Ovis aries: one gene and its partners. The protein of the gene in region 1 interacts with the protein of each later gene in a pairwise test. Links are inferred from orthologs where the notes say so. Each region holds a gene or a part of one and is shown in the gene's direction. Other genes may lie near its edges. The genes, in order: TRIM54, TBC1D22B, BYSL, RABGEF1, CDKN1A, SPG21 and LENG1.

Region 1 (2,486 bases):
CCCTCTATGACCTCCCTCCCTGTGGCACTTCCTGCCCCCTGGAATAGAAACTACTCTTGGATCTGGGCCTCCTGTACCCTGTATGTAGCTCTGTTCCTCAAGTGAAGAGGAAGTCATCTGCCTGCCCAGCCACAGCAGCAGCTGTCGGGGCACAAGGTGGCAGTGGCTGGTGGAGGCTGAAGAAAAAGCGCTCAGGGGGCCTCACACACTTGCCCCACCTGCCTGGCCCCTGACCCCTGCTCCTACACTGCCTGCCTCCCCGCAGGCCACTGCATTCCAAGGCTGAGCAGCACCTCATGTGTGAGGAGCATGAAGACGAGAAGATCAACATTTACTGTCTGAGCTGTGAAGTGCCCACCTGCTCTCTCTGCAAGGTCTTTGGTGCCCACAAGGACTGTGAGGTGGCCCCACTGCCCACCATTTACAAACGCCAGAAGGTATCAAGCAGCAGAGGGAGCAAGCATGGGGGGGTGGGGGTGGGGACACAGGATGGGATCTCAAACTGCAGCCTCTTACTCCACTTGACTTCAAAGGCATGCAGATCAGGGCTGAAGTCCCAGCTCACTGTGTGACCTTGGGTAAGTCACTTGACCTCTCTGGCCCTAAAATTCTTCCTCACTTGTAAAATGGGCATGAAAATGCTTACACTTGAGAGTTGTAAGGATCATACGAGAAATGGATGCAGTATGGTGAACTCTCAAGGCCATCACACTGTCATACAAGTAGATTCTACATAAAACATTATTTACAAATTAAGGGACTCCTCTGGAGGTCTGGTGGTTAAGCTTCCAACGCAGGGGGCACTGGTTCAATCCCTGGTTGGGGAAACAAGATTCCACATGCCATGCAGTATGGCCAAAAAAATTAATTAATCAGTTAATTTTAAAAAAATAATTGAAAAAATAAAATAAAAATTAAATTGATAGACAGGTAGAAAGTAAAGGAAAGCTCCAAGTGTGGGTGAGGTAGGGAGAGAAGGAGGGGGAGAGAGATGTGAACAGAACCCTGAATATGATAGGCATGGGAAAGGCAGGATTTCCCACAGGGCAAATTATTACTGAACTAGACAGATGAGACTATGCCTACAAACTCCTGAAACTTGGGGGACCTACAACAAAGACCCCCAAGGATCACAGGATACACTGGAATCCCAGGAATCCCTAAAGTGGGCAGTTGTGCCACCTGGCTTTTGACAAAAGCAAATGCAAATTCTGCCTGGTGGAAAAACCCTCAATTTAGGCCTTGGGTTTTTCTTAGATTAAGATCAACATAAGATGAGCTCCCGATTGAAGATACACAAAGAAATGTACTCATGAGTGAAGTCAGCAGAAACAAAACTTTCAGATTTAGGCCCTCAAGAAATTAAGATACTGGAATTATTAAAGAATGTAAAGTCAGCTTTGTATAAAATGCTTTAAAAAATGGAATTTGAAAATAAGCAATAATAGACTATCAAAAGTGCAGATTTGATGAAGAACCAAACAGAGCTTTTAGAAATGAAAATATAATTGTAGAAAACAAAACATTCAAGGGATGAATTAAATGACAACTTTCTCTCAGTAAGAGAGGACTGGGGAATTCCCTGGCTGTCCAGTGGTTAGCACTCTGTGCTTTCACTCTCGAGGGCCTGAGTTGGGGAACTAAGATGCCACAAGCCACACAGCATGGCCAGAAAAAAAAAATTTTTTTTTTCACATAAAAGAATTTTAAAAGGGAAAGAGAGGACTGAAAAAATAGCTTAGAATATAGCACTGGGAGATGAGAAGGTTGGGAATGAGAAGGTCTAACATATTAGATATATGATTAGATATATCTGATACTCTAGATATATTAGGTACTCTGATTAGATATCAGAGTCTCAGAATGAGAGAATAAAGAGAATGCAGAAGAGGCAATATTATCTTAAAGGAAAATCCTGAAGACTTTTTCAAAATTGATGGAAGATAAAGCATGCAGCCCAGTGTGTGGTATTTGGTGGATATTTGGTGAATGTCTCTTTCTCACTTGGTGGTGGAGGACTTCCTCTCTCCACTTCCTTCCAGAATTTATAGACTGTGCTTCCAAACTTCTTGAATGGTTCCAAACTCTCTAGATCTCTGTCAGAGTTTCCCTGAGGATGCCCTGATGGTGGAGTGGAGGGGACAGTCCTCTCCTGGGTAGCCCTGGTGAGGGAGGGAGGGGCTTAGCTCCAGACCAGGTCCTCCAGCCCTGAGTGCTGGCCTCTGTGTGTGGCAGAGTGAGCTCAGCGATGGCATCGCGATGCTGGTGGCCGGCAATGACCGTGTGCAAGCAGTGATCACACAGATGGAGGAGGTGTGCCAGACCATCGAGGTGAGCCTGGAAAGGGAGGGAGGGAAAGTTGCTGGGCTACTGGAGGTGAATCACAAGTAGTAGAATGTGCTTACCCAGGCTGCTAGGTTTGAATCCCAGCTCTGTCCTCCTCTGTGACTTTGGTCCAGTGACTTAACTTCTTAGTGTTTGGGTTT
Region 2 (3,500 bases), on another chromosome or scaffold:
CCCAAGAAAAGTTCCAGGTTGGGATAAAAAGAAAGCAATAGATTTTCCCTCTGAAGTCACAAAAATTTGTCAGATTTGCTGCAGTAGCTGGAGTCTCTGCGCAGAAGGTGCCTTGGTATGTATGATAAACACGCAGCCCTTCCCCTGAGTGAACAGAGGGCGGCTGGGTTTCCACCCACTGGCTGGCGGCCTCGCCCTGGGCAACCTGGCAGCCGCGGCTGTGGAGGAGCCCCATGCCCAGCAGTCAGGTCTAAGTGTCTCTGGATCTGTGCTCGTCACACAGCCTGTCCTCTTTCTCTTTCAAACGACCCCTCAGGTGACTCATGCCTGAGGAACCCGCTCCACAAACAGCAGTCACTCCCTCTCCGACCCGTCATCCCGCTCGTTGCCCGCATCTCAGACCAGAACGCTTCTGGGGCGCCCCCGATGACCGTCCGGGAGAAAACCCGCCTGGAAAAGTTCCGTCAGCTTCTCTCCAGCCACAACACTGACCTGGGTGAGTACCGCAACCCCCCCGCCCCGCCCCGCCCCCGTGAGCCCTGGGCAAGCAGACCTCTCGGTGACTGGAATTCTCAGAGACCCGGAAGCTACTGCTCTTTATTCTTCCTTCTTTTACTTTTCCAGCATCTCCTGATCTGGTGCCCACTGAAGTGACACGCAGGTATCACAGTCAGACATACGTTAACTAGAAATCAGGGGCCAACTTAGGCGGGACTGGACTCCGTGGCCTGTAGAGCCTAGTGCACCATTGGCTTCGGTCTCCTCTACCTCCATGCGATTCCTCCTGAAATCCACACCTCCTGGTCTTCCTCCTCCCTCTAACTCTAACCTCTGAGCTGACTGGATCACTGCTGCAGAGCTATGACCTTGGCTGCTCAGGGCTGTTGTTTTGGGCTTTTCACCCATGCTTGTCGGTAGCTGGCGGTGGTGGTGGCAGTGGCGATGGCGGTCATCCTCCTGAAACGCTGGGGGGCACCAGGCAGCACTGGCTGAGGCTCGTTTCAGGGCACCCACGGGAAGGACTAAGTCCAACCACACCTTCATCTTTTTGCAGATGAACTGAGGAAGTGTAGCTGGCCGGGGGTTCCCAGGGAGGTTCGGCCTGTAACCTGGAGACTCCTGTCGGTGAGTTCTGCCCCCTGGGTAGAGAAGTGCAAGCCTCACACGGCCCTGCCTGCCTGCGGTGGCTGGTCTGGGGACGTCAGTCTTGCCCTGTAGACTTCTCTGGTCGGACCCGATATGGGACTGAAATCCTGTCTCTGCATAAAGAATCACACCCTCGAGAGTTTGTCCCTACTCTTGTAGAAGAGCGTAGGTTTGTGTGGATAGTCCCGATCTTGCCTTCTCAGCACCCAGAAGGAGTACAGTGAGGCTGGGTGAGCCAGCTCTCCTGTGGGCAGGTCCCACTTTCCTTGTGCTTCCCTCCTTTCTCAGTAGGAATGACTAAGGGGGTTGAAACCCACTTCCCAACTGTGAAGAGTTGATAAACGGGCCTCCCTCAGAAGCCTGCTCTCGTCCCACGCTCACTAAGTCACAGAGCCCTGTGCCAGCCGCTGTGGTAGGAACACTTTGATCTCCTGAGCCCGTAAAATCCATTCATTCATAAGGATTTATTGAGGGCAAGCTGTTTACCGGGCACGATGCCAGGTGCTGTAAGGATGCACAGAGGTGGGCCCAGCACAATTTCGGCTCGCCAGGCGCTTGCTCGCTCTGTGGACGTGTCCCTTCCCTTCCTGCGAGAGGATGACAATTGCTTCTAATCGGCCCCCACCCCCGACTCTCATAGCCGTGGAGTCACTGCCCCTGCTCCTTCTAAGAAGTCCAGATGCTATTAGAAGTAGCTGCAGTGAGAATGGAAGGGGAACAAGAGATGTCAGAATTGAGAGTGGGATCTAGACCAGGGGTGGCCCGGAGCTGGGGCCAGGAGCGAGGTGCTGCTGCCAGAAGGTCTATGTCTGGACGTTGCAGCTGCTGGGTCACAGATTCCATTCAGCCTCCTAAGCTGGTAATTCTCAACATTACTGCGGGAAAGAATTATGTAACTAGCGCAGGCTCACACGGCATGCCACTAAGATGCGCCGTGGAGGCGGCCACCTCTCCGTGACCCTGGGAAGGATTGCCTTGCACACACGCAGCCCCAGGAGTCCTGACTTGGGTCCAGTTCCCTCCCGCTGACCTACATTTGCTGCTCTACTGTGCCAAGCCTGGAGCTCTGCACTGCTCCCCAGCAGGATCTGCGCCCAGGGCTGCAGGAGTACATAACCCCGAGAAACCCGGCTGGGCTTCATCTGCCCACACGTGCGTCTCATTGAATGAGGACAGGGCAAACCCTGGGTGGCCAAAACCAAAAAGGGATTTACCCTTGTCTTCTTGGCAGCTTTCTTTCCCTTCCTTTGAAAGTTTCAAAGCCACTGTTGAGGCTAAAATAAAAGTTAAGAATTCATCCAGCCAGTGCCTGTCCCCATCTGACAAGCGGTCCTGTCTACAGGGTTATCTCCCGGCAAACACTGAGAGGAGGAAGCTGACCTTGCAGCGGAAGCGGGAGGAGTACTTTGGCTTCATTGAACAGTATTACGACTCTCGAAATGAGGAACATCACCAGGATACCTACAGGCAGGTACGCCATCACCTGCTGCCCTTTTGCCCACTAGTCGTAATCTTCAGCTGCGGCTCCTGGAAGTGCTCTTGGGGTACAGGTTTGCCAAGTCTTCAGGCTGTTGTGGTTAGGAATTAAATTTATTCCCAGAACTACCTCCTTTCTTTCTAATTCAGTAGCTCTGATTTTAGCCTTCTTTTCTTTTTGACTGTGCTACACGGCGTGTGAGATCTTAGTCCCCCAACCAGGGATCAAACCCACGCAGCGGAAGCATGGGGTCTTGACCGTTGGATCGCCACGGAAGTCCCTAGACATTTTCAATAGATAGATTTTGGGGGGTCCCTGGTCAGGAGCAGTGCATTTGGACTTTAACATGTATAGAAATCTCCCAGGATTTTGATAAAATTCCAACTCGGGATTATGGTAAAATGCAGATTCTTATTCAGGAGATCTGCGGTGAGCCCTTGGCTTCCGGTGAGCTCCCAGGCGATGCCAGCGCTGCTGGTCCACCGACGACCCTTGTGAATAGGGTGGTGGGACACAAGATGAAGAGTGGGTCCGCTCAGTGAGCCCACCCCTCTGGCCTGTGACAGCAGTGTGTCCTTCTGACAGCTGCAGTGCCTCTTTGGCTTGTGTGTCTGTCTGTTGGGGCGATAGCCATCAGCAGCCTTAGCCGGGAGAGCCCTGCCATCGCCCACAGTGGTCCACACCGCGGTGGAAAGGTGGAGGGTGTGAAAAGGAGCCTGATGGTTGCAGAGGGGAAGATACTGGGAGCGCGCAGCTGTCTGCAACAGGCCCCAGGAGCAGAAGTAGCTTCAGGTGCTGCTGAGACAGTCCTTAGGGCTGTTGCTGTCGTTGAGTCCCTCAGTCGTGTCCCCGACTCTTTGCGACCCCATGGACTGTA
Region 3 (4,006 bases), on another chromosome or scaffold:
GTAGAAGGTGCCTCCTGCAGTGGAAGCGTGGAATGTTAACCACTGGACTGTCATGAAAGACCCTAGCAAACTTTTCATTCCCATTCTTCGCACCCTTCTTACACTACAGGACTTTGAAGGAGGCTCATGATGCCAGCTTCAGGAAGCAAATGTGCAGTCACTGACAAATCTGCAAGACCTGGGCTACCAGGAATTCCCACAGGCTCTTACATGAGAAGCCTAGAGCCATTGCCTTCAGATAACCTGGCCTCTAAGCCCTCTCTGGGAGAGATGCTCAAGATATATATATTTTAAAGCTCTGAAATCTAGCATTTTGGAACTAAATGACTCGAAGAGAATTAAGCCCATACCTTTCCCTGCCACACTGACTTATAACGTGTTAAAATAAGTCCATAAAAACTAAACCAACCAGGTAATTAAACAGAATAGGAAACAGACCCTGAAGAGGTGATGTGCCTGTAATTCCTATCTCCTAATTCCCAACAGCTCCTTTTTTCCCTCCAGACTCAAGATCTTACAAAGGCCAAACTAGAACCAGACACATGCTGATCTAACTGCATTTAGTGGCTGTAAGGAGGGGCAGGCAAAAACCTAAAAAAGATACTATCTCCTTGTTGCCTATCCCCTACCCATCCAAGCCCTGCCTGCAGACGGGTCCGAGTCCCGACATACTACTTTCAACCCTAAAGTTCTACCCCAGGCTTCACGGTCAAGAAATTGTATCAAGAAAAAAGGAAGGAGGTACACGATCATTAACGGGTTCTTAAACCCTTTTTCCTGCCGCCTTCCAGGAAGAAGGGGCGAATCTCCGAGGAAAGGGGCCTGCAGATTCTGCAGCCCTCGCGGTGGCCCCCTCACTTACACAATCCGAGGACATTTTGCTCATCTTCCGGGGGACTGTGGACCCTGGTCGGGATCCTCCTCCCGGGTATATTCGAGGCTCCAGGGGCCTTCAAGTCCCCAAACCCCGCCCCACAAAGTCCTCTGAAGTCCTACCAAGTCACTCCCATGGTGTCGTGCCAGGAAGATGGGAGGATCAAACAAGTGAAATGCGCTGTGCTCCAGCAGCCCACAAGAGGAGAAACCACCTCGCTAAAGCGAGCTCCAATGGAGGCAGGCGCTCCGGAACTTACGTAAAAACACAGCGTCCAGTCGACACGCCCACGAGGAAGGGCGTGTCTGGGTCCTTCGGTGAGGTCACTGCCCGACTCCGCCCCGCCCCCGATCCCCTGGTTCGCCGGTCAGGGAATTCCCATTCGCCTGGGCACCCTGGACCCAGATCCATGAAACTAGGAAAGTGTATCTCGGACTACAACCACTTAGAGAAGACAACGTTAAATTCGGGAGGACCCAGCTCCAGGACCCGTGAGCTCTTTTTGGGGGGGGGGGGGGGTGGGACGGGGCTTCTGGCACACCCGGCCTCCAGACGCGAGGGGGCGCTGTGAGCTCCGGTGGGCTCTCGGGCGCTGGGTGTTTACCGCGCAAGCGCACTCGGGGCCTTTTTTTCCTCCATACCCACGTGGGAAACTTCACGGCTTGGTTTTCTAGAAAAATGCCCAAGTTCAAGGCGGCCCGCTCGGCCGGGGGTCAGGAGAAGCATGCGCCGCTGGCCGAGCAGATCCTGGCTGGTGACGCGGTGCGGGCAGGAGCCCGAGAAAAACGGCGGGGTCGCGGAACCGGAGACGAGGAGGAAGAGTACGTGGGGCCCCGGCTGACCCGACGGATTTTGCAGCAAGCGCGGCAGCAGCAAGAGGAGCTCGAGGCCGAGCATGGGAGCGGGGACAGGCCCGCGGTGCCGCGGGAGCGCACCACGCGGCTGGGTGAGTGGGGGGGATGGGGTACGAGGAGGAGGGTGGGTAGCTGGGGCGGACGGCTGAAAGGTGTCTGGCAGGGGAATAACTTGGAATTAAAAAACAACAACAACAAAAAACTGAGGCCCTTGGCAAAGGTAATGGGGTTGGGAGACCCAGCTCTGGGGCAGATTGAGGGTTGCCGGAGCCCTCCACGCCCATTCCTTAGAGTGGCACTCTTATAGGCATCACCGAGGTTAGGCCAGCAGGAAGTGGTTACTCACGCCGCTAAGTTCTCCTGGCATTTATTTACGTGTTTTGTAAGTAATCATGGAATGTCTACTACGCACATCCCGCCGTGCTAGGAGTTTAGATGGTTTAGATAAAAAACTGTAAACAGGGTAAAGGTATACCTAACGTCAGGATCTTCCAGTGTAGCCCGAGAGAAAGAATTAAGTAAGCAATTAGAATAATGCACTCGTGATAAAGTATAGCTTCTCTGACAATAGCATTAGTCTTGGGAGTCAGGTTTCCCAGGTTGCATGACCGTTGTGCTGAGAACTGAAAAGTAGGGAGTGCTCTGAGCACAAAGAACAATATTGTTTCAGGACTAGAAAGGGAGCGAGATTATTTAAAAGATGGTCATTTTTCTCGTTATTACTCTGAGAGTGTTGACCTCCAAGTTGCTTAATCCATTTCTCAACACTCATCTTTCATTTGTCTGTGAGCAGCATTCACAAACGGAGAAGGCAATGACAGCCCACTCCAGTACTCTTGCCTGGAAAATCCCATGGACGGAGGAGCCTGGTGGGCTGCAGTCCATGGGGTCTCTAAGAGTCGGACACGGCTGAGCGACTTCACTTTCACTTTTCACTTTCATGCATTGGACAAGCAAATGGCAACCCAGTCCAGTGTTTTTGCCTGGAGAATCCCAGGGGTGGGGGAGCCTGGTGGGCTGCCGTCTGTGGGGTCGCACAGAGTCAGACACGACTGAAGCGACTTAGCAGCAGCAGCGTTCACAAACACTAGCCTCCTTGCTACAGTATCTTTACTCCGCTTCTAAGACATCACATCCCTGTTTTGCTAGTTTTTCACCTCAGTGGGCTTCCCAGGTGGTGGAACCCACCTGCCAATGCAAGAGATGTTGGTTCAATCCCTGAGCCAGGAAGATCCCCTGGAGAAGGAAATGGCAACCCACTCCAGTATTCTTACCTGGAGAATCCCATGGACAGGGGAGCCTGACAGGCTATAGTCAGGAAAAGTCCACAGGGTCACAAAGAGTCAGACACGACTGAGTACACGCACACACCTCTCAGTATCCTTTGCTGGCTCCTATTCTCCCGCTTCCGACGCCTGCTGGTGGGATCTCAGTTCCCCTACCAGGGGTTGAACCCTGAGCCCCAGCAGTGAAAGCCCAGAATCCTTACACTAGGCCACCAGGGAGCTCCCTTTGCTGACTTCTCGTTTGTTGCCAGCCTCTTCCTGTAGTGCCACAGCATTACATCCTTGGAGCTAGTCTCTTCACCTCTGATGACTTCCCTGGTGCTGTCATCAGGGTTGAGGTTTAAATACTGTCTGTTTGGTAACTGCTTCCAAGTTCATATTCCAGCCTCGATCTCTTCCATGAAACCCAAAGTCTTATATTTCAGCTCTCTCTTTAGCTTCTCCAATTTGAAGTCTAAGAAACATCTCAGATTTAGCATGTCCAGAACAGAAATCCTGACCATCTTGCCAAACCTGCTCCACTCCCAGTCTGCTTCATCTCAATTAATGACATGATGTCCTTCCATTTGCTCCAGGCAGAAAACTCTAGACTTGTCTCTTTCTCGCTCCATATCCAATCAATTAGGAAGTCCTGTTGACTCTGCCTTAAAAATATATCCAGAATCAGATCAGTTGGCACCATCTTGGAACACCATCCTGTTCAAACCACAGTGATCTCTCACCTGGGTGACTGCAGTAGCCTCTTACCGAGAATCCCGTATCTGCCACAGTCTACTCTCCACTCAGCAACTCAGGATTGCCTGATCTACAGAGACCTATATGATCTGTACCTGTTGTCAGTCTGACCTCTCCTGCTCCTTTCCCTTTGCCCTCTTCTCTCCATCCGGGTCAAACCAGCTAGTTCTAAAAGAGATCAGTCCTGAATATTCACTGGAAGGACTGGTGCTGAAGCTGAAGCTCCAGTACTTTGGCCACCTGATGCGAAGAGCTGA
Region 4 (3,500 bases), on another chromosome or scaffold:
CAACAGTAAAAGGCAGAATGCTAAATAGGGTGAAAATGGTTAAAAAAAATTACATATATATATATATATATATATATATATATATATGTGGACATTCCCCCAAATCTTTTTGTTAATAAGTTGTATTTAAATAGAAAAAGAAAAATAAATAGGCTGAGACATAGTAACAGTAATTAAAACCCAGAATTAAAAATTTAAACAATAAAACAATTATATAATTCATACAGTAGACAGGTAAGTAGTGGCGGGGGAAGTATGAGTAAATTAAAACAAGGTCTCAGCACTGTGTAGTGTTCCTGTCTCCCACACGTTAGCCTTCCATGGCTGGTAGTCCTGTGAGAACTTCGCCAGGTAGCTGACCCCGGGGATGAGAGCTGAGAGCAGAAAAAAAACTCTGGCATGTACCACCGAACCACCTAAATCTGAAACTTTTATTTCTGCTAATGGCAAGAAATTGGTGTCAAACCACTTCAGCTCTTTTCTTTCATGGTGTTCTAGACTGTAGGGAGGTGTATCTGTCCAGAGGCACCCACCTGCCCTCCTTTTGTGTGGTTCTGACAGTGCAGAGTTCAAACTTGATCATTCCTCATTGCCTCCTAGTCCTTGTGACAGAGAATGTGAACTTATAAGAGCCTGCTAGTTGGACTTCTTGGTAGTGAAGGGCAGTGAAATAATTTTGCTTCTGAGAGAAATAAAGTATTGTTTATGAGATTAAATAATACCTATGCTCATCCCCTCTGCTACCCAGCAGGTTATAAGTGTCATAAAGTTCTTATTAGATACTTGTTGCTAGTGGGAGATTTATATGCCACGAGGATTGGCCACTGTGGACCTCTGTGTGATGGATTTCAGCCGCTTGCACTTTGATAACCAGCTCAGAGATGCCTTGTAAAATAGCCGCACTTCTAAAAAGCTGTATGCAAATGAGGCCTTCTGAACTGAGTTTTACGATGTATTTACAAGGAACAAAAACTCTGCTTATTTCTCTGGGGAGCTCATAAGCATTTTACATCATGACTTAAAGAATGCGCTTTAGACTTAGATAGGCTTGGCTTCAGATCCGTGCTCTGAGCCTTTTTATTGTATAATCTTGGGCAAATCATTGACCCTCTCTGAACCTCAGCTCCCTTAATAGTGCACGTGCATACCCTGGGGATGGAGAGATTATGCTTGTAGAGCACGCAGTATAGGGCCTGGCTGATGGGCACCTGTGCCCAAGTGTGAGCTAATGTCTGCGGTTGTTGCAGGCTTTCTCATACGCTAAGTTAACTAGTGGAGAAGGGGTTAGCGAGGGCACCTCTGTAACTTAAGAGACGAAATACGATGATCCCGACGCCTCTTTGATGTAACTGTCTCCTCACTGGAAGCAGCACCTCTTCTCCTTTGTAGATATCATTGAGATGGATTCGAAGCGCGTGCCCCGGGATAAGTTGGCCTGCATCACCAAGTGCAGCAAGCACATCTTCAATGCCATCAAGATCACCAAGAACGAGCCGGCTTCAGCCGATGACTTCTTACCCACACTCATCTACATTGTCTTGAAGGGCAACCCCCCACGCCTTCAGTCCAACATCCAGTACATCACCCGCTTCTGCAACCCAAGCCGACTGATGACGGGCGAGGATGGCTACTATTTCACCAATCTGGTAAGGACTTGACTTGCTGGTGTTGTGGAGAGGAACCCAGAGGTATTCATTTTAAGGATGTGACAGGGCTCTCACAGGCCTGTGACGTGTTCGTGCTCTGGAGTTGAGGGGTCAGCATAGCTGAGGATGTTTGCTTGGTATCACAGAGCACATGTGACCAGGCCAGGCACACATACCACCTCCCAGGACTTAGCCATTGTGGTTCCCCTACAGGACACACGATGGCCGCGTTGAGGGTCTTTGGTGCTGTTGGCTGTCGCTCCCCGGAGTCCCGGCTGTAAGAGCCGCTCATTTACTTGGTTGTTTTAACCATGAATAAATGAGATCTTGGGCTGATTCCTTTATTAAAAGACTTAATGTTTATTTTTTGTTTCATTTCTACAAATTCCCTCTTAAAACTGAATACTGAGATGCTGATGCATAGAGGGTGTGCAGTGATTTTCAGCTCTTGTTTTTTTACAGTACTAATTAACACTAGGCGGGACAGTTGTGAGGTACACACATCTAAGGCCTGAAGCCACATACTTCCTTTTACTGACCGCTGGACTTTTCCTTGTTTGCGTTAGACTAGATTTATTGTCTCATTCATGAATTTCAGCCTCAAGACACCTTATGTTCTTTGTTTCCTGTGCTGGAAGCTGTTCAGGGTGTTAAGTAGGGAGGGGAGGCCAGGTTACATAAGGAAGCATTTCTGGTAAATTGTCTAAAAAGACGGATCCTTGAATCGCCTGCATTCTGTAGCTCTTCCTGGCCCCCTGACCCACAGCCTTAACTGTGTGCACATCTTTTTTCTTCATTCTCTTCTTGCCAGACTCAGAGTCACAGCCCCAGTGCAACCGCTGTGGCAAAAGTAAAAAATTGGCCAGTTGCCACATGCCTTAGGAACTCTGCTTCACTTCACTCCTTTAACACTCCTGGTGACGCCTTCCTTCTGGAACTTCTCGTGTGCCTCAGCGTCCACGATTCCCCTCCATCTCCCTGGGCTCTTTGTGGGCCTGGTGTCCTCCTTGTCCCCTTGAATGTGTCACTCCCTGGGGGCTCTGTCCTCCGTGCATCTCTCTCCCTAGACCGTCTCCTCTGGTCCTAGCGCTGCTGGTCACCTGTAATGATAACCTGCAGGTCACCTGTTTTGACCTCACTCTGAGCTTCCCAGCTAATTTATTATGCTTCAGACTTAATCTGTTCAAAACTGAAGCCACTTCACCATAATATGTTTCTTTCTTTTCCATTATGTACTGTTTCCATTAGAGGCAGTACTGTGTGTCTGCTCGCCTAGACCAGGAATGTCAGAACCATCTTAGAGGCCTCTTCTTTCCAGAAACTAGGCTGCACTGATTCCACACACATAGTGTAAGCCGGTGGGTAAGGGTCAGACAGGCACGTTCTTGTCAGATGAGGCTGTTGAAATAGATTTGCTAAATCTTCTTTAAGGAGATTCGCTTTTTTATGAATAACAAGGTAAGATCCTGTGAACAAATTTCTGAAAAGAAATCCTGAGAGCTGTCTATTTTCTCCTGTGATGTTTTTCATGTTTTCCTCATGAAAATACTTTATTAAAAAAAAAAGTATGAAAATGGTATGTGCTTCTTCTAGAAAAAATTAGTTGAGGGTATAACTAAGATGTCTGTGTCACTCAGCATTTCCCCCAGCATTTCTGTGCTAATAATTGCTACCATTTATTCATTGCTTACTACAGACCTGTGAGACATGTGCTATGTTGTTTAATTCTCACAATAAATCTGGGTGGTATTTCCCTCATTTTACAAATGTGGGAACCGCAGAGGGCTTAGGTAACTTTTCTAGGGTCACACAGCTCTGGGCTGTCAGTTGACAGAGGTGACATTTCACTCAGAT
Region 5 (3,721 bases), on another chromosome or scaffold:
TTGGGAAAGGCCCTCAGCCCACAACACCTGTCAGCTGCTGTCTGAAGGAGGCGGTGGCCCAGGTGGAGTGATGGGGAGGAGTCAGCCAGAACTAAAGGCAGAGAGAAATAATATTCTCCAAACACTTTCTCTGTACTTGGTACGGCTCAGAGGGCGTTATCTACAACCGCTTAGCGAATTCTCACATCTGGCCTCTGAGACAGTCGCTGTTGTTATCTCCTTCTAGAAATGACACCAGAAATAGATGTCCCTTTCATCATAGGCGACTGGAATGTAAAAGTAGGAACTCAGGAGGTACCTGGAGTTACAGGCAAGTTTAGCCTTGGAGTACAAAGTGAAGCAGGGCAAATGGAGTTTTGCCAAGGGAACGCACTAGTTACAGCAAACACCCTCGTCCAACATACACAAGAGACAACTCTACACATGGAAATCTCCATCTTATACAGGAGGAAAACAGAACCCAGAGAAGTTAAGCCACTTGTCGAAGGTTGCCCAGCAGAGCCTGGATTCCAACCCAAGTGGCCTGGTTCCAAAGCCCTCACCTTGAACCACCAAGATACAGCCGTTGAACTCTGCTCCATCTGCCTTGCCTGGCGGGGCCCGCCAATCATTTCCTTGAGCCTGCGTCTACAGCCCCACTCTTTAGACATGTATGCAGTCCCATTTTACAGATGAGGAAACTGAGGCCGGGGGACTTGAAGTGACTCTTTGAAAGTTGAGGTAGGAAGTGGCAGAGCGAGGACTAGAACCCAGGTGCTTTTAACCCCAAAATCCAGAGTAGTTTTAAGTCACTGAGCAGGATTACTCCACATGAGCATCTAGATGGAGGGATTTGAGAGGAGGCATCCATTTTCTTGGGAATTGACCTCCCCGGCCAGGCCTGGAGTTAGGAAACTGCTGGACTCTGACAATTCACACATACCTGGGGGCATTCACACCCATGAGGGACACCTCAGTGGGAAAAACAAATTGATTTTAGCTGATAACACCCAGTGGTAAACAGGACCCTGATCCCTGCTATTGCAATAAACTTGCCTTTGTTGACATAAACTTGCCCTTCAGCTGCCCACTCCCCCAGTGACCTGGGGGTGTCAGGCTGACTGACTCTGCCCCTCACACCCTTTCTGTGGGTGGAGGTTGGGAGAGCCTGTGGGAGGAACCCGAGAGCCCCTCTCACCTCACTTTCTAGTAAGGAGACTGCGCCTGAGGTTACGCAGTGGCATGGCCCAGAGAGGGAGCGTCCGACTTCCTGAGTGTCTCACGTGCCCCGGGTCTTCCTTGTGTTCCAGCCACAGGTGCCATGTCTGAGCCGTCCAGGGACGCGCATCAGATCCCCCGCAGCAGCAAGGCCTGCCGCTGCCTCTTTGGTCCAGTGGACAGCGAGCAGCTGCGCCAGGACTGCGACGCCCTCATGGCCAGCTGCGTGCAGGAGGCCCGAGAGCGATGGAACTTCGACTTTGTCACCGAGACGCCCCTGGAGGGGGACTTTGCCTGGGAGCGTGTGAGGGGCCTCGGCCTGCCCAAGCTCTACCTGCCCGTGGGGCCCCGAGACGATGTGGGAGGGGGCAAGCGGCCGAGCCCCTCATCCGCCCTGCTGCAGGGCACGTCTCAGGAGGACCACTTGGACCTGTCGCTGTCCTGCACCCTCGTGACTCGCTCCCCTGAGCGGCCCGAGGGGACCCCTGGTGGGCCTGGTCCCTCCCAGGGCCGGAAACGGCGCCAGACCAGCATGACAGGTGAGGACGGGAGCAGAGGTGGCGGCAAGGGATTAGGACTCCCAGAACTCACTGTGCCAGGGCTGACCTGTCTGGCCCAGCTTACTCATCGCTCTGAGGGGTGGGAAACAGGCCCAGAGAGGGGAAGTGGCTTGCCTGAGGTCACACAGCAAGTCTACTACCAAGACCAATTAGCTGACATTTATTTGGAACATTGACTATGTGCCAGGACCTTTGATAAGTGTCTAGATTTCTTTTAGTCCTTATAGTGATCTAATATCATAGGACATTCTTGGCATCCTTTTACAGGCAAAGGAACAGGACTCTGAGAGGTAGAATGGTTTGCCTTAGGTCCCACACTGAATTTACCATGGAGAGTAAATGAATGATAATTTCCTGGCTGCCTTATCCAAACCTAACTCGCCTTCCCCTTCATACATACACACCTTCACCTGCACTTCCTAGCCTATTTTTCTCTTTTTGGCACTTTTTAAACTATCAACAGCTACTTCCATATTTTGATATAGTCCATCTTCCCAAATAGAATCCTATCATCTCCACAAGAAAGAAATCTGTATCTCTCTTGTTCATAATTGAGTCCTCAGCACCTTGGATGGTGTGTGACACATAGTAGGTGCTTGAGGGAAATGGAATAAGTGAGGCTGGCAGTTGAACACTATGCCAGGCCTTCAGCCAACGTCTTTTTATTTTTTACTTTACAAATGTATTACTGTTATTATTTTGGCTGTACGGCTTGTGGGATCTTAATTCCCTGAGCAAGGACAGAACCCAGGCCACCTCTGTTGAGCGCAAGGAGTCTTAGCCACTGGACCACCAGGGAAGTCCCCACCAAGGTCTTTCCGGAAACATTTCATTTAATCCTCTGAGCATCGTACCAGCGTTATCCTCATTTTATAGGTGAGGAAATGGAAGCTTGGAGCAGTGCAGCCAAGAATCCCACAGCACATTTGCAGCTGGGTCAAAACTAACAATAATGATAATAATAATAACTAACCTTTATATGGCTCAGACATCATGCAGAACGCTCTCTGATATATCAGGCTCTGCAAAGAAGCAGATGCCCAGTACCGCTGGCCACATATCACTGCTGAGTGTTTGCCATGAGGAACTAAATTTTTCTATTAGTCTAATGCTAGTTAATTTAAACAGCCGCCTAGGGTTAGCGACCACTGCATTTGGGCAGCTTGGCTTAAAGCAGGCCCATGCATGTAAAGTCTGTTATTGATCACGTCTGTGAAGCGTGGGGGGATGTCCTGTATGTATGTAGCCCTCCGGGAGAGAGGCTAGAAGTTTCCAGAGTTCTTCCCTATACTTGGCAATGTGTCTCTCGGGCCCTGGGGAGGGGTCCCTGGCCCCTCTGCAGGTTGCACTGCGCAGGTGGCTCTGCTGGGCCCTCTTCCTCCTGACCTGGCTGACATCTGTTCTCTCCCCCCAGATTTCTACCACTCCAAACGCAGGCTGATCTGCTCCAAGAGGAAGCCCTAACCCCGCTGCTGGAAGCACGTCCTCGTGGAAACAGGGGCCCACTGCAGGCCTCTTCTGTACCTTTTGCCTTGGTCCTTCAGTTTGTGCGTCTTAATTATTATTTGTGTTTTAATTTAAACGCCTCCTCTTGTACATACCCTGCTTGCTGCCACCCTTCCCACACCCCCAGCCTCTGGAATTATTTAAAAAAGAAAAAAATTAGCAGAAAAAATAGGCTTATTAGATTGCTAGGTATTTTTATTATATGAACCGTTATTTAAACCCTCCTCATTCTTTGCTCGGAGAAGGCAATGGCACCCCACTCCAGCACTCTTGCCTGGAAAATCCCATGGGCGGAGCAGCCTGGTAGGCTGCAGTCCATGGGGTCGCTAAGAGCTGGACACGACTGAGCAACTTCACTTTCACTTTTCACTTTCATGCATTGGAGAAGGAAATGGCAACCCACTCCAGTGTTCTTGCCTGGAAAATCCCATGGGCGGAGCAGCCTGGTAGGCTGCAGT
Region 6 (3,500 bases), on another chromosome or scaffold:
ATGACCAAGTGGCTAACATACTTTCACTTGCGATTTGATGACTATCTTTAGTGTTTTGTTTGGATCAATTTTTCTTTTCTATGTGTATCTATTGTAGATTTTTGGTTTGCAGTTACCATGAGGTTTTGATATAGCGTGCTCTCTCTCGCTCTCTCTCTTTCTCTCTGTCTCTCTCTGTACATACATACACACACACACACACACACACACACACACACACACACACTATTGTTCTAAGTGCTGGTCTCTTAATTTCAAATGCATTTCTAATGTCTTGCATTGTAATTCTTGCTATTTGGAAAGGAAATTGATGTGAATTGAAATTGTTGTATATGTAGTATCACTAGAGTGTGATTTTTATTTTTATTTTTTAATTGTTCTGTTAGATAAAATTGGAATTTTGAAGTCTAGGATAAGATGAGAGCTTATTTTCCCATGTTTTGAAAAAGGAGCAGAGATTGAGCAAATGAGAAACACTGTTGTGAGAGCCCTAAAGTTTTCAGATACGTATGAATTGTATTTTACTTTTACAGTTTTTAAAATAAATTTAAAACTTGTTATATTCTAGTTGCAGTATCCAGTTTATTGGGACCACCTTGAATTCTGTGATGGATTCAGAAAACTTTTAGACCATTTACAGTTGGATAAAGTGAGTACCTTAAAACTAGTTACTCACATGTGATTTTATTTATTTATTTTATTTATTTTTTTCACATGTGATTTTAATGCAATGATTACATCATTGTCTGGTGTTGTCTTTTATTTTTTAATAACAGCTCTTTTGAGCTAGAATTCACATACCATACAGTTTACCTTTTTAAAGTGTATAATTCACTGTTATTTAATATATTCAGAGATATGTGCAATCATCACAGCAGTCAATTTTTGAATATTTTTTCCACCCCAAAAAGAAACCCCATACTTAGCAGACACTACCCTGCTTCCTCCCTGGAGCCCTGTCTGTGGATTTGCCTGTTATGGATATTTTATATAAATATAAAGATGTAATTTGTGGTCTTTTGTGACTGGCTTTTTTCACTTCTCACGAGATTTTCAAGGTTCATCGATGTTGCAAATTCTATCAATAATTCATTCCTTTTAATTGTTAAATAAAATCCCATTGTATGGATAAAACACATTTTATTTACCCATTCATCACTTGATTTGTTTTCCACTGGTTAGTTTTTATGAGGGATGTTGCTATGAACATTCTTACACAAATTTCTGTGAAGACAGATGTTTTCAGTTCTCTTGAATACATGTCTAGGAGTGGAAATACTGAATTACCGAATTAAAATTTCTGTTTTCTTAAACAGAAACTGCAAAGTAGTTTCATTTTCTAATGTAATCTGGAAATAATATTTTTTTTAACTACTATAACTTATGCACCATTGTATTGTTTCTTGACAGGGTATAGACATTGCATTTAAACACAGTATTTCCTAAACTTCTAACTGCTGTAAATATTTCAGTCTAATGACTGGTGATAACATTATATTCTGTGGTTGGTGATAATTAAAACAGTTTTTTGATACTTAAAGATCAGTCATTGTTTTTAGGATCCTTGTGTTTGTTTCCGATTAGGTTCATCTCTTTGGGGCTTCTTTGGGAGGCTTTTTGGCCCAAAAGTTTGCTGAATACACTCACAAATCTCCCAGAGTCCACTCCCTCATCCTCTGCAATTCCTTCAGTGACACCTCTATCTTTAACCAAACATGGACCGCAAACAGGTAAGAATGTAAACCTTCGACCAACAGTTTTGTTATTTTCAGTGGAATTGAAAATGGTGATGTTTGGTTTTTTTGAAGCATTAGGGAGGGAGGGGCCATATATACTTTTGTCTTCTGAAACCATCCTGGCTTTTAGCATTAGAAATGGTCACCCTTGCAAAGGAAAAGAATTGAAAGAATTCTAACTTCAGTGGTTCCCGTTACTCTAAATCATCGCCTGGCTTTGTGTATTATGGTTCCAATGCCTTTACAGTTTCCCTTCAGAGCTTATCTCACTGATACTGTGTTCTGCTTGCTCCACTTAGTATTTTGTGTACAGAGTTCTGTGTAATGACTGTTACATTTTTTTTAAGACCTTGGGCTTCTCTCAATTTTTCATCAGGTTCAACTGTAAATCTTTGTGTGTAAATTACTTTTGTTCTTCTCTTTCTGGGTCATTTCCTTGAGATAGGTTCCCCGAAATGGAGAGACTGTTTAGTTCGCTGGCACTTGTACAACATTAGTCTGCTTTTTAGAAAGATGGAGAGGGCAGAATGTTTTGCAAGGCAACCAGTGGGGTACCTGCTTTCTCTGAGCCATCCCTTCATTGATTTTATCATTTGAATTAGTTTTATAGATGTCTAATGGTACCTTAAAGCTGACTTCACTATATTTCTTTCATTGCTAGCAAGGCTAGGCTCTACCCCCCAAAAGTAGCCTATTGACTTAACTTACCTGAGTGATCAGATTGGTTTTCACAAAATGTTCTAGGTAAACATTGTTTTCATGGTTTTCACAACTATTTACTATTGCATTCTGATTTTTAAAAAAATGTTTCCTGATGTTTTCTCGCTTGTTTACTCAGCATTTGTGCAGCAGTTTCTTGTATGCATTAGACAGATACTTCATGTCAATATGATGCAAAAATCGTTCTTTTTGACGAGTTTTTCATGTTGTTTTGATTGTCAGAAGCCAAGATTTCCCCCACTTGGTGCTCTTGCGTATCAGGAATTTTTTTATCAAATGTCTGAGTACTTACTATGTGCCACACAGAGGCTTCAGGGGTGAACAGAGCCAAGAGGATGACCACCCCTCCCACTCACCCACAGAAAACACCCAGGCAGCATCCCCTTTAGAAGTTAAGAAGCTGTTGGGATGGGTTGGAGTTGAGAACTTAGATCATTGAAGGTGACTGAAAGATGGCTAACTGGTCCTTATGAGGGGCGTTTACTGAGAATGTACATCAGAAGGTGGTCTGTACCTTTTATAAGTTATTTTCAGCATAGGTTTAAAAAAATTCATGTTTATCCTATATAAGGGCTCCCAATGTAATTAATGGAGTACACTCTTAACTAAAGATCACATATAGAAATACATGAAGACTGAATTGCCTTGAATTAGCCCAAGAATCCACTAGTAGCAATAGTAGGTATAATAACTCTGTGATTTTACTATTTTGAAATCTATCCTTTAATGTTAATCAAAGGGTGATATAAACCTTCAGATTAATATAGTAAGTGTTCAGTTTTCCACAAGTAGCTTAGCCATTGAAAATAAGACCAACTAGAAAATAAAATCTTGGAATTATCAGAATGTTTATTGCAATAAAGGCATTTTGAAATATTGCTTATAATTATTCCCAATCCTCAAAAGTTTGATCATATGAAACCATAACTCTTTGGGAACTTGAGAAAGCATTTATAAAAACTAGATGCTTCAAAACTAGCTCTTTGAAGGAAGAGACTGGGTTTTTTAAATCTCTAAATCCCAAATGCCTAGTTAATACAGAGA
Region 7 (3,953 bases), on another chromosome or scaffold:
AACTGCCTCAGATGGCCCAGAATTTTCTCTTCTTCCTGGGTACCCAGGCTTTTGCTGTGCCCCTTCTGCTGATCTCCAGGTGAGGGCGCTAGACTCCTGGGTCTGATTCTGAATGTCTGACCTGGGGTCCCGCTGCCTGCTTCCGAGAGAGAAGGGGGTTGGGGCCCAAACTCTTGGGTCTTCGGGAAGGAGGGGGCTGGGATGCTTCGACTCCTTGAGTCTGAAGGAGGAGGTCCAGACCCCTGCTTTCTAAAAAGCCCTACGTGGAAGATATTCTGAGAACGTTTGCGGAGTGGCTTCCACTTTATCTCCGCTAGCATCCTGATGGCGTATACAGTGGCCCTGGCTAACTCATATGGACGCCTCATCTCTGAACTCAAACGCCAGATACAGACGGTGAGCCAGGCCTGGCCCCTGGGAAGGGGTCCTGGAGAGTATGAAAAAGAACACAGGGGAGAGATGTGTCTCACCTCCCCTCTACCTTTCCCTCAGGAGGCGCAGAATAAAGTCTTCCTGGCACAGCGTGCTGTGGCGCTGAGCTCGGCCGACAGAACTCTTTGACCTCTCCAGCCTGGCTTGGGGTGACGTCCCACTTCCAGCCCCAGACCTGCTCCCAGATCCTTTTTGAGCTTCGTCAACATCATTTGGAAAATGAGTGAACTGGGGAAGACCCCGTGCTTTTCCAGCCCTGGGATTCCCTGCTGAGGCCCCGACCCTCCAGTGAACCTCTTTCTAGTACTGTATCAATGAATCTAGTACTGTGTCAATAAACACAGCGGAGGCCGCTGAGTGCTTTTTAATCTCCGGTCCAGAAGCTGGGGCAAGCCTTCACAGGACATAAACCAATCAAATGTGTGGCTCTGAGAGCGTGGCGGACTCTTCCGCGAGAGAGACCGCGCCAGCCAATCAGCGGCTGCGTTCAGGAGCCTCGGGGCGGGGACACGTGATTGAATCAGAGTCTTGGGGAGCGGCGGTCGCTAGGCGACGCCACGCGCGATTCTCGGAGACGGGGGACGTGGGCCCCGCAGCCAGTCACCTCTCGCTACAGCCCTGGGGGGTCGTGTCAGGCAGCGCAGAGCCAATCCGTGGCCGAGGAAGGAGCAACGGGGCGGGGCCTGCCTCTCGCCAATTGGAAGTGCCAGGAGGTGGGCCTGTCGGTCCGCGGACGGCTGAGGCGCCATGAATATTTTACCCAAGAAGAGCTGGCACGTCCGGAACAAGGACAATGTCGCCCGCGTGCGGCGTGACGAGGCCCGAGCCCGTGAGGAGGAGAAAGAGCGTGAGCGGAGGGCGCTGCTCGCTCAGCAGGAGGTGAGCCCCCGGCCCGGGCGGACGCGGCGCCGCGGCTCAGCGCGCAGGCGCCGGGGAGCGGGGCGGCGCCGGGGAGCGGGGCGGCGCCGGGGAGCGGGGCGGCGCCGGGGAGCGGGGCGGCGCCGGGGAGCGGGGCGGCGCCGGGGAGCGGGGCGGCGCCGGGGAGCGGGCCACCCTGGCGGACCTGGGGCCCGGCTCCCGGGCGGGCTGGGCCTGCGGGCCGTGCCGACGTTCCCCTCGACCTCTCCTTGGTCCTCCTGGAGGGCCGGAGTAGGGGGTCGTGAGTAATCGGAGCCCTGGGCAGTTCACGGAAGCTCGGGCCGCTTGTTACTTTAGCTGTACAAACACCCTGTGCAGTGAGCTCTTGCTGTCCCCTGGCGGCTCAGACAGTAAAGAGTCTGCCTACAGTGCGGGAGACCCGGGTTCGACCCCAGGGTCGGGAAGATCCCCTGGAGAAGGAAATGGCGATCCGCTCCAGTATTCTTGCCTGGAGAATCCCCTGGATGAAGGAGCCTGGTGGGCTACATACCATGGGGTCTCAAGGAGTCGGAAACGACTGAGCGACTTCAGTTTCGCTTTCCCCTGTTCATCCCGTGCAAAGCGCTTGATTTGCAGTCTCTCGAGCCCTGTTCGTTCTTAGCGGGGCGGTTATCTCCCTTCGGCGGAGAAGTGAGATGGCTTCAGAGGAGCCACAGCGAAGCGACAGTGTCTCAAGCCAGTCCCGCTGCGCCAGGCGTGCCTTTTGCCTGCACCGCTGCGCACAAACGTTAGAGAGTCTCTCTAACTCCTCACCTGTTTGGTTTACACCTAGCTTCCAGTCCTTTGACTAATCCGATCGTCAGCACTGGCTGGGAGGTAGTCAGGGTTTTTAAAGCTCACCTTTATCGGACTTCCCTAGTGGCCCAGTGGCGTCCAATGCAGGGGCCCCAGATTCAGTCCTTGATCAGAGAACTAGATCGCACATGCTATAAAACTAGATCTGATGCAGCCAAAGCAATATTTTTTAAGTTCACGGTTATCAATAGAAATTGGAAATCAAATGGGCATAATGACTCAGCGCCCTTCCTGGAATTCAGATCACCTGTCCTAATAGATGTTTTGGCTGCCTTTATAGCTGTTTTCATTGTGTCAGAAATGAAACCCCCTCGTTTACTGTTTGGAAGATGGCTTACAAACCATGCCTTGCCTCACTGCTCCACCCTCTCCCCAGGAATAGTCAGGTGCCTCTTCTGGGTTCCCAGTGCCCCTGCTCCCTTCCTTCGAGCCCTTACCACTGCAGTGGTCAGCACTAGGCTCAAGAGTCCCTTGGGCTACAGCTAGGTTCTGAATGTTCTGCCTGTAACTTTTTTTCCCTCCAGGCCCGCACAGAATTCCTACGGAAGAAAGCCAGGCATCAGAACTCACTTCCTGCACTGGAAGCAGAAACGGGAGCCCCATGCAGTTCTGGCCCTGTGGATCTGTTTCGGGAGCTGCTGGAAGAAGGCAAGGGGGCGACGAGAGGCAATAAAGAGTACGAGGAAGAGAAGCGACAGGAGAAAGTAAGGTGGCCTTACCCTCTTCCTCGGGTCACGGGTGGAGCCAGGGGTGGGGGTGTACCTTGCCCTCAGGTGTGATTACGGGAATATTTAGGGAGATGGTGGGGATTAAACAAGCTAGAGAACTCAGAATAGTATTAGAACATAGCATGTTAAGAGGTGTTGATTATTGCCGGGTGCTAGGTAGACCCCCTCAGGTCTCTAACCTGATGTGCAAACCTTGAAGATGTTGGGAAGTGTTAAGCTTCTTAAAATGTAAATCAGACGCTGTCCCTCACTTGCCCTCGGGGTTTCCTATCAGACTGCCTCCCCGCCCCTCCCCCCTCAGTCACTGCTTTACCTGGCTGGCTTCACAGTTTCTTTTCTATCTCCTCAAAGATGCTGCCTTTGAACCCTAACATAAGCAGTCCCCTCCTTCCTATGCTGTTTGTTGCTGAAGCTGTCCTGGTGCCCCAGAGCAGGGGCACCCCGGGGACTCATCTCTGAAGTCCCAGCAGCTGGCAGAGTCGGCTCCTGACGGGCTCTGCTGGCTGAATGTCTGGTTCTGCCTCTGCGGGAACCCTGGCTGCCTGAGAGGGAACATGCTTCCTGTTCTCACTTTCACATCTTGTCTCCCTCAGGAGAGGCAAGAGAAAGCCCTGGGCATCCTAACATACCTGGGACAGAGTGCAGCGGAAGCCCAGACTCAGCCCCCATGGTACCAGCTGCCCCCTAGGCCGGGCGGCCCCGCCTCTGGTCCTGGGCCCGACGAGAGGATCAAGAGCCGCCTGGACCCGCTGCGGGAGATGCAGAAGCACTTGGGGAAGAAGAGAAAGCACAGTGGAGACAGTGGTGGTCACAGCACAAAGGAAAAGAAGGCGCCTGAGAAACAGCGACCCAAAGAGTAAGGAGCCTCTTTGGCCAAGTGGGCACCACGGGCGCTCTGGCTGAGGCAGGGGCTCTGGGGTCTGCAAGGTCAGGCCCATTTTCGTAACACCGTTGAACGTTTTCAGCCTTGTTCCGGGGTCTGCAGAGACTACATGGTATTTATTACAAGGCCACTGCCCTGGTGGCTGGTGGGCCATCTGCTTGCTCTTGTTCACGTTGTATACATTAGATTCTGGACAG

Evidence for each region.
Region 2: the proteins of TRIM54 (region 1) and TBC1D22B interact in binary tests that used the Homo sapiens proteins (3 or more experiments, as listed by UniProt). The link is inferred for Ovis aries from reciprocal best matches to the Homo sapiens genes TRIM54 and TBC1D22B.
Region 3: the proteins of TRIM54 (region 1) and BYSL interact in binary tests that used the Homo sapiens proteins (3 or more experiments, as listed by UniProt). The two-hybrid records come from large-scale screens. The link is inferred for Ovis aries from reciprocal best matches to the Homo sapiens genes TRIM54 and BYSL.
Region 4: the proteins of TRIM54 (region 1) and RABGEF1 interact in binary tests that used the Homo sapiens proteins (3 or more experiments, as listed by UniProt). The two-hybrid records come from large-scale screens. The link is inferred for Ovis aries from reciprocal best matches to the Homo sapiens genes TRIM54 and RABGEF1.
Region 5: the proteins of TRIM54 (region 1) and CDKN1A interact in binary tests that used the Homo sapiens proteins (3 or more experiments, as listed by UniProt). The two-hybrid records come from large-scale screens. The link is inferred for Ovis aries from reciprocal best matches to the Homo sapiens genes TRIM54 and CDKN1A.
Region 6: the proteins of TRIM54 (region 1) and SPG21 interact in binary tests that used the Homo sapiens proteins (3 or more experiments, as listed by UniProt). The two-hybrid records come from large-scale screens. The link is inferred for Ovis aries from reciprocal best matches to the Homo sapiens genes TRIM54 and SPG21.
Region 7: the proteins of TRIM54 (region 1) and LENG1 interact in binary tests that used the Homo sapiens proteins (3 or more experiments, as listed by UniProt). The two-hybrid records come from large-scale screens. The link is inferred for Ovis aries from reciprocal best matches to the Homo sapiens genes TRIM54 and LENG1.

Annotation. Positions count from the first base shown.
Region 1 is NC_056056.1:34,378,236-34,380,721, forward strand, and holds part of TRIM54 (tripartite motif-containing protein 54), read left to right. Parts: intron 1-265; coding exon 266-437; intron 438-2,235; coding exon 2,236-2,331; intron 2,332-2,486. UniProt on the Homo sapiens protein: May bind and stabilize microtubules during myotubes formation.
Region 2 is NC_056073.1:11,238,766-11,242,265, forward strand, and holds part of TBC1D22B (TBC1 domain family member 22B), read left to right. Parts: intron 1-316; coding exon 317-496; intron 497-569; exon of another isoform or gene 570-1,054; coding exon 1,055-1,125; exon of another isoform or gene 1,126-2,488; coding exon 2,489-2,617; exon of another isoform or gene 2,618-3,500. UniProt on the Homo sapiens protein: May act as a GTPase-activating protein for Rab family protein(s).
Region 3 is NC_056073.1:15,721,280-15,725,285, forward strand, and holds the start of BYSL (bystin), read left to right. Parts: upstream 1-1,206; 5' UTR 1,207-1,365; intron 1,366-1,548; 5' UTR 1,549-1,552; coding exon 1,553-1,820; intron 1,821-4,006. Other genes in the region: MED20 (mediator of RNA polymerase II transcription subunit 20), read right to left, coding at 997-1,010. UniProt on the Homo sapiens protein: Required for processing of 20S pre-rRNA precursor and biogenesis of 40S ribosomal subunits. May be required for trophinin-dependent regulation of cell adhesion during implantation of human embryos.
Region 4 is NC_056077.1:28,736,183-28,739,682, forward strand, and holds part of RABGEF1 (rab5 GDP/GTP exchange factor), read left to right. Parts: intron 1-1,389; coding exon 1,390-1,646; intron 1,647-3,500. UniProt on the Homo sapiens protein: Rab effector protein acting as linker between gamma-adaptin, RAB4A or RAB5A. Involved in endocytic membrane fusion and membrane trafficking of recycling endosomes. Stimulates nucleotide exchange on RAB5A. Can act as a ubiquitin ligase.
Region 5 is NC_056073.1:10,679,776-10,683,496, forward strand, and holds CDKN1A (cyclin-dependent kinase inhibitor 1), read left to right. Parts: upstream 1-1,300; coding exon 1,301-1,736; coding exon of another isoform or gene 1,737-1,933; exon of another isoform or gene 1,934-3,171; coding exon 3,172-3,221; downstream 3,222-3,721. UniProt on the Homo sapiens protein: Plays an important role in controlling cell cycle progression and DNA damage-induced G2 arrest. Involved in p53/TP53 mediated inhibition of cellular proliferation in response to DNA damage.
Region 6 is NC_056060.1:11,887,484-11,890,983, reverse strand, and holds part of SPG21 (maspardin), read left to right. Parts: intron 1-568; coding exon 569-649; intron 650-1,584; coding exon 1,585-1,730; intron 1,731-3,500. UniProt on the Homo sapiens protein: May play a role as a negative regulatory factor in CD4-dependent T-cell activation.
Region 7 is NC_056067.1:63,980,935-63,984,887, forward strand, and holds the start of LENG1 (leukocyte receptor cluster member 1), read left to right. Parts: upstream 1-1,153; 5' UTR 1,154-1,179; coding exon 1,180-1,311; intron 1,312-2,669; coding exon 2,670-2,849; intron 2,850-3,466; coding exon 3,467-3,729; intron 3,730-3,953. Other genes in the region: TMC4 (transmembrane channel-like protein 4), read left to right, coding at 1-79, 318-396, 493-561.